2 linked regions of the Oryzias latipes genome follow. The protein of the gene in region 2 interacts with the protein of the main gene of each other region in a pairwise test. Links are inferred from orthologs where the notes say so. Each region holds a gene or a part of one and is shown on either strand. Other genes may lie near its edges.

Region 1 (3,819 bases), on a different chromosome or scaffold from region 2:
GAGCTTTCAGTGCTCATTAAAAGCGATCAAAACCTTTATTCTGCATGTCAATTACAATTTGCCTCCAGTCCAAAACAAACACAGATAAACAAATCACCATTACTCCAGTCTAAAGGACTGTGTGCCTTCACATAGGCAAATATAGATTGTAAATTGTTCATTTATGAGGACTTTGATTAATAGAAAATGAATACGAGCAACTACTAAACAAACCTGCTAAAAAAAAACTTTTGTAAGACTAGACTAGACTACACCTTTTTTTTTGTTTCTGAAAAAAAAAAATGAGCGGTCAGTTTTTAATTGCAAAGCATCCATTCTAGCACCATCATGTGTTTTAATGCAAAAGTATTTGACTTTCAGCTCCTAAACCTTAACTATATAGCAGAAAGTGACTGAGGGAAAGAGTTGTTTGAATGTTTTAAATTGCACTAAATCGTGTTAAGACTTGAACACTACCTTTAAACTCAGTGGCTTCCAGAAGCTTCTTCCACTGGGAGCTGACCTCCTCCATGCGGGCAGCCACCTCAGCTGCAGCGTAGTGCTTCCTGTCCAGCAGCTCTTGGCCAGACTTCTGCAGGGCATCAATGCGGCTCTGGTTGGCAGAGAGCTCGGCTTCAAAGGCCTGGTGTTTCTGCACTTTGCCTTGCAGATTGGAGGGATCCTGATGTTTAGAGCAGAAAAACCAAAGTAAACCAATGCAAGGAGCTAAATCTTTTAAACCATTGCTGTTTAAAGAAACATTGGATTTAGTAAAACAAAAAAAATGAAAAGAAAGCCTACTTTATAAGATTCATCAGTGGCCGTCTTCATCTTCTCGTTGATCCAGCTCTTTAGCTCGTCAGAGTCCCTGCAGAACTGCTGCAGGTGGAAAGAGTCCTCCAATGCGGCACGGCGTGACTGAGCGCGTTCATGAAGGGCGTTACGGCGACTCAGCAGCTATGTAACAAACAAAAAGCATGAGAAAAAACAACTCAAAAATGTCTAAAAACAATTTTTTTTAGAAGAGTCCACAGTTGCTGCTTCAACATTGACAGGCTACATCTGTGGGGCTTACAGCATCACGGCGCGTAGCCACGTCCTCTTTGGCGTAGTGGTTATTCTGAATTAGCTTGGTGGCAAATTCATCCAGAGCCTGAAGGAGAACACATCAATAAATTACCAAATTACACAATTAAGCAATATTTGGTCAAATTGTTCAAATGATGCAACTTACAGTGATCTTCTCTTCCTGAGCACTGAGGGATTTCTCAAAGTCTTCATGCTTTTTCAGCAACGCTTCAACACTATCCAGAGAGTCTCCAAGGTCTTCATTCAGGAGGAAAGCCTAAACAATCAAGTGACATTAGAGAAGTCATTTTTGTCTGGTAATATAACCAACATACATGATTTGCTGCTTTGTATGCTTCCGTCACATTTCTCTGTACAAGCTGAGGCTTAATAAGTGCCAACTTTCACCTCTTGCTTGCTCATCCAGTTGTCGACTTGCTCAGTATCCCTGTAGAAGAGCTGCAAGTCCATGCACTGCTCATACTGCTGCCTGCGAACCTCCCACAGCTCCAGCAAAGACTCTTTCTCTCCTGTAAGAACGCCGAGCTAAACACAAATACGACCGATTAAACGTAAAAAAATTAGCTTCACTCTTATTACCATGAAAGAGATGAACTTCCAAAAATGATCAAAGGAGATCTGATGAAAGCACAAATATATTGTAGTTAGTGTATCCCATTAGTTTTCCATTCCATAATGTAAAGAAAATAATGGTTCTTCTATTAATGCAGATAAAGTGTATGTTGATTAGATTATTCAAAGGCATTAAAAAGAATCTAAGGAGCAGTTTTGCTCCATCTTTATGTTGCACTGGGTGTTTAACCAAAGTGCAGAGGAAGGGAGGGCTCTTCATTCACTGGGACTGAGAATGACTTTACCCAAAAATAATGTGAAGACTTTGCATTGATATATTTTTCTTAACGCCCGTTTTCTCTGTTTTTGTCTGATTTATCCTATTCATCAAAATCGGCTTGACTGGAAAAAAAAAGGAAGAGTCTGTGTCCATCTCACAGCAATTTGCATCAGAAATCAATCTAAGAGTGAAGCAAATTAAGCACTGATTTTATGACAGCCGTACCTTTTCCTTGACCTCCTCTGAGGCGTAGTGTCCAGCACTGAGCAAAGCCTTTCCAGACTCATCAGTGCCTCTGAAACTGTCCTCGTGGGCATCAATTTCTCCCTGAAAGACGTTAAAATATTCAGAATGGTACAAGGTCTTGCATGGGTTGCATTAATGCCATTTGCATTAACATAGAATGCTTGTTTTTGTAAAGAACAATGATTTACCTTGTGCTCCTGGTGGCGGTCTAACAGAGCCTCTGCCCCAGCCACATCATTAGCCAGTTCATCAGCATTGATCAGAGCCTTCATCTCCGTTACCCAGCTGATCAGATCCCTGAAGTCTGCAAGGAAGCGCTGGAGCCTGAAAAATTCAGACAGCATGGCAGAAGACTAAGGGACAGAGAAGCTATGAAGAGTGCATGTTATTTAAACAAGACAGTTTTTTTTATAGGATCTATTTCAAATAGTTTGTCTTTAAACACCTTCAACTTCTAAAGATCAGCTTTCACATTTGATGTGCAGCTTCATTGTCATTTTCTTTATTCATTTCCACTTTTTTATTAAAACCATGAAACTGAAAACATTTTGGTTTTTAAAAACAAAGCCCTAAACTAGAGGTTAGATATAGAAACATTTACTGGTAGGAGTCGTTGAGGCGGGTGCGGCGCTCAGCAGCCAGAGTGCGGATCTGCTCCCAGTTGGTGATGAGCTCATCCTTCTTCAGGTGGATCTGAGAAGCATTTTGGGGATGCGTCTGCTGCAAACGTTCCACTTCAACACCCAGTGTATCGACCTGGATCACATGAAAAATGTAGGGGACCAGATTAGAGATGTCCCTAGTTCAGATGATGTCATTTCCGGACATGTTTATCCATACAGCATGTGCCCTGCCTTTTGATTCAGAGCGGCGAGGTCTCTCTCCAAACCCTCGTGTTTGCGCAGAAGAGCCTGAACGCTGGCCAGGTCACGTCCAAAGTCATCAGATGCCATCAGTTGTTCCTTCTCCCTGATCCAGCTGATTGTCTCATCAACATCTCTGTTATGAATTAAATAGTTAAAGTCAATACCATCCTAGAAATGGCTTTTTATCAGACTTACAGCTATGACCAGCGGTCTACAGAGGGCCTTTTGGACCATGTTCACCTGTTGAAGCGCTGTACTTCTGCAGACCCAAACAGCTTGGCCTGTCTCTGCTGCGCCAGGCCCTTCAGCCGCTGCCAGGCCGAATTGACCTCTTCCTGTTTGCGGACTATGAGCTCAGCCTCTGGATGTTCTTCCTGAATCAGCTTGGCCGCCAGCTGGTTGACCTCGTTCACACGCTCTTCGTGGGCTGCCAGATCTGTTTGGAACTCCTCAAACTTCTTCTGCAGGAGCTCCACATGCTCCAGGTCCTGGCCTAGCTCTTCAGATGTGGTGATGGCCTCCTGTACAAGAAATAAAATAAATCGTTTTCAGATTTTTTTCTTTACGATAAAGTTGAGAGGACATGAAGATGTAAACGAAAACATACTGGGCTTGTAACAAAGTAAACCATAAATGTTCTGATAATGTCGTGTTTCTACCAACTCTTACGTTGGGGGCATTTTTTTCTTGAATGAATGACCTGCTGCACCAGCAATAGGATATGCAGCACTAACTGCTAAATGGTAGAAAAACATGATGTGGAAGATTTTAAATATTTGTGACATTATGTGTTAATATTAATGAATG
Region 2 (3,819 bases):
GGGAGAACACGTCAAAGTAAGGGTGTAGTCATCATTTTGTGTGCTTAGAGATAATAAACAAAAATGATTTTCCAAGCCAAAAAAGGAGGGCTCGTCCGGGATTTGAACCCGGGACCTCTCGCACCCAAAGCGAGAATCATACCCCTAGACCAACGAGCCACGTTAAACGGAGATAGAAATTCTGACTTATTCTTTAAACTATCACCTGCAGGCTATGTATTCTACTTTGTGAAATTGAATTGTACTATTATTACTCTCAATGACATCGCTAAGAAAATATGCCGTAACTTCAGGCATTTACATCACCAAGACGATTGTGATTTAAATAACCTTTTCTAAGCATATGGCATTCGACGAGGCACCCACTTTGTGTGCTTTGAGCCTGTAAACCAAAAGTAATTCGAAACCAAAATAAGGGCTCGTCCGGGATTTGAACCCGGGACCTCTCGCACCCGAAGCGAGAATCATACCCCTAGACCAACGAGCCACGTGCCTACGTTCCCCTCCACAAATGTACTTATCTAGTATAGTTGTGTACTGGGTATACGGGCCTTGTTCTTTAATAGGTTTGTATAATTGCTGCCTCTATCATGATGTGCACCTATCTGTTTTACTTATTACAACTCTAATCGGTGGGCCTACATTACACTGCGCTTTTGGCCTTTAAAAAAAACAAGCCCATAAATAACGTCCAACGTAATGATGTCGTGGAGGATGGGCGGGGTTACCGCCTTATTTCAGGAAGTGTTTTGTAGTCATAGTAGCGGTTAATGTTATCATTGTCCGAGAGCCGCTACGACTTAGTCTTTTTTTAAGCTATAAACTCTTGTTAAAAACATTTAAAAACACTGACGTTTTTTCTTCTTTTTTTTCAAGGACATGAACTGAAGCAGGCTGAGCTGTTAGGACTTTTTTCCAACCATTTAGCCGTTTTACACTGCCAAAGTGAAGTTCAAGACTGAAAAAACCGTAAAACCAACTCATGGAGGCTCCGCTGGAATCCACGAACAATCGCGATCTAAAGTAAGAGGGATATCGCGACACCACGTGACGATCCGAGCTAAAAGTTTTTATCTTTACGGTGTTTTCTGCTCCTGCCTCCCAGCTCCGTGCTGTCTGCATGTGAGCCAGAGCTGCAGGAGTTGATGAGGCAGATCGACCTCATGATCAGCCATCAGAAGAGGGAGTGGGAGGCGGAGGTCCGGGCTTTGGACATGCGGCTGAAGAGCACAGAGGAGGAGCTCCTCGCCTCCAGGGCCACCATTGAACGCAGAGAACTGGAGGTGAAGCAGACTGATGTTGACACGACATGTTAGCACATTTGACACAGCAACTGGACGGATGAGCCTGGAAGATGTTTCTGATCCTTTCAGATCGGATTACTCCACAAACAGCTGGAAGACGTTCAGGTTTGCCCCCAAGATGTAGTCTCTAAATATGAGCAGCAGCTGCAGAAAGTCAGTGAGGAGGTGAGGCCCCTCACAGTCTAAACTTCTCCTGACGTTACAATTGTTTTCCACATAACATTTTGAGACACCTGCATTTCCAGTTGGATAAACTAAAGAGAAGTTACCACAAACTTCAGCGTAAACAGCTCAGGCAGACGAGCGGCGGAGCTTCCAGAGATCTTTCACAGGTAACCACTTCCAGGAAAACCCTGCGTAGGTTTGTCCTGACTCTGAAGTCTTCCCGTTCTTGCAGGAGAATCCTCAACACCCCCTGGACCGGGAGCAGCAGCGGGACCAGCATCAAAGCCAGCTGACAGAGATGGAGGCCCTGAACCGGAGCCTGGCCCAAGAGCTGCTTCAGATGAAGGTAATACCTGGATGGACGTGTGGATTTTAAAGGGGGAGGCGGGGCCACGGTTCAAACTATCTGTTCCTCTGCAGGCCCAGCCGGCATCACGGCAGCACTGGCAGTGCTGTGTGGAGCTGCAGCGTCTGCAAGCTGAGCTGCGGAGACCGCCGCCCGGCCCCCTCCCATGCACTCCGGACGCCGTCGGACAGCCTGAGTCGTCGGGGTGGACCCTGAGAGAGCAGCAGGTCAGAGGTTCCTCACATCCAGCTAAACGTCCCTCAGGTCCATCAATGGAAAGTGTCTAGACGCTAAATGTGGAACCAAACAGAAGAATATCAAAATCTCTGGTCAATGTCAGGCAGTTTAGTAATCCAATAGTCAAATTCTAAAATGTTTCTTTATTCTTCAGTTCTATAAGAACATAACTATGTTTAATGTTTGGTCTGCAGCCTTTAACACAGAAAGAGCCTTTTGGTTCAGTTTCTTACAGACAGAGCCACAAAGTCCCACTTTAATGTGCAGAAAAATGCACTTTGTTTATATTTTTGAGTCATTAATATTAACTTTAGTTTAATAATAACGCTCCTAAATTTTTCTACATACAACCATTTTTAGTTACTTTACATTACACGTTCCTTTCAAAATAAAATGCACCCTGTGTCTAATGACATCCTTCTGCTGCAACATATTAACTGGAGATAAAATGCAAGAAAACCACATCAAACACGTCATTTTCTATCATTCCGTCCACCGTCGTCTTTTTTTTAATCTTTTAAAATCCATATAAACATGACAACATTGGTGAAAAATCCACTTTTTCCTTTAAAATCTACACAGGAAAATGCATTTATGTACCTTAAACCCTTTGCCTGCAAACAGTAACTGTTGATCAGCAGAGGTTTAGAAAATGAACTTTACGTTTATTCAATCGATAAACTAGTGACAGTAAATTAAACCCTTTTCATCTTTTTGCTCAGTTATCTTAAAATGTAAAAAAAAAACGAAAAACAACGGAATAAAGCAAAACAAATGAACCAAAACCACAAATCCATTCTTTGTTCACATCATTAGCATTTTTCTTCTAAGAGCCATAATGGGGGGACAATGGGGCAGCATGTGGCTCCGGGGCCTCAGGCTTGAGACACCTGCTCTAACTTTAAAGAAAATGCTGTCAAGAGAACCAGGGAGATTATTTATGCGGAAAACAAAACCCCAGCAGGCTTGATATTGATGAATTACACATTTATGAATCATCAGATCATCAAATGAGGGGCCTTTTCATCTCTACGGGTTATTAGGAACCTGTTTTTTCTCTGTCTGGACTATATTTATTTCTGGCTCTACAGGCCAATAGTTTCATTTCATTTATTTTAAGCAGCTCCGTTATACATTGTTGCTGAAAATCAATCAGATGACCAAACTACACATCACCTACACTGTTAGTAAGGTTTGAGGTAAAGTGTGTGTTCTCAGCTGATCACCTCTAACAAGTCAATACAATCCAGCAGTGTTGCTGAGGTCATGAGGGGCTGATACTGGGGCAGCAGACGTGGTCCGGTTTGCCCTCAGAGGAGTGGAGAAGCAGTCTGGACTCCTCACGTTTTCTGCTTTTGTGTTTGGTCTGGATTCAGAACAGAGCACTTCAGCTCCTGAAAGTTCAAATGCTCTTTTTGTTTTTAAGCAGCTCTCAGAGGAACAGGAAGATCTCCACATCCAGGAGTCATTTGTGCAAAGAGAGAACCAGAGGCTTCAAAATGAAGCTGCTAAACTCAACCAAATGCTTCGAGCTAAAGATCAGGTCATTCGGTGAGTTGACTGCCGTCTGCAGCCTGTAACTTCCAGTGGCAACCACAAGGGGGCGTTCTCCACCAGCATTAGGAAGTGTACTGTATGGGATGAGATAACTGTAGAAAAGAAACGTAAGCATGAAGACAAAGTTGTGCCCAACTTTGCAAAAAAATCGTATTACATTTAGTTTTACGTTTAACACGTCTGGCTTGAATACGACTTTTCTGTCAAAAG

The links.
Region 1: the proteins of cep63 (region 2) and sptan1 interact in a two-hybrid assay, tested with the Homo sapiens proteins (2 studies listed by BioGRID and IntAct). The link is inferred for Oryzias latipes from reciprocal best matches to the Homo sapiens genes CEP63 and SPTAN1.

Annotation. Positions count from the first base shown.
Region 1 is NC_019870.2:24,685,566-24,689,384, forward strand, and holds part of sptan1 (spectrin alpha chain, non-erythrocytic 1), read right to left. Parts: intron 3,534-3,819; coding exon 3,253-3,533; intron 3,146-3,252; coding exon 3,001-3,145; intron 2,903-3,000; coding exon 2,748-2,902; intron 2,471-2,747; coding exon 2,335-2,470; intron 2,228-2,334; coding exon 2,126-2,227; intron 1,594-2,125; coding exon 1,456-1,593; intron 1,325-1,455; coding exon 1,214-1,324; intron 1,133-1,213; coding exon 1,055-1,132; intron 937-1,054; coding exon 781-936; intron 662-780; coding exon 457-661; intron 1-456. UniProt on the Homo sapiens protein: Fodrin, which seems to be involved in secretion, interacts with calmodulin in a calcium-dependent manner and is thus candidate for the calcium-dependent movement of the cytoskeleton at the membrane.
Region 2 is NC_019862.2:2,683,048-2,686,866, reverse strand, and holds part of cep63 (centrosomal protein of 63 kDa), read left to right. Parts: intron 1-87; exon of another isoform or gene 88-159; intron 160-415; exon of another isoform or gene 416-487; intron 488-732; exon of another isoform or gene 733-876; 5' UTR 877-982; coding exon 983-1,023; intron 1,024-1,105; coding exon 1,106-1,283; intron 1,284-1,373; coding exon 1,374-1,469; intron 1,470-1,549; coding exon 1,550-1,636; intron 1,637-1,701; coding exon 1,702-1,815; intron 1,816-1,889; coding exon 1,890-2,042; intron 2,043-3,478; coding exon 3,479-3,603; intron 3,604-3,819. UniProt on the Homo sapiens protein: Required for normal spindle assembly.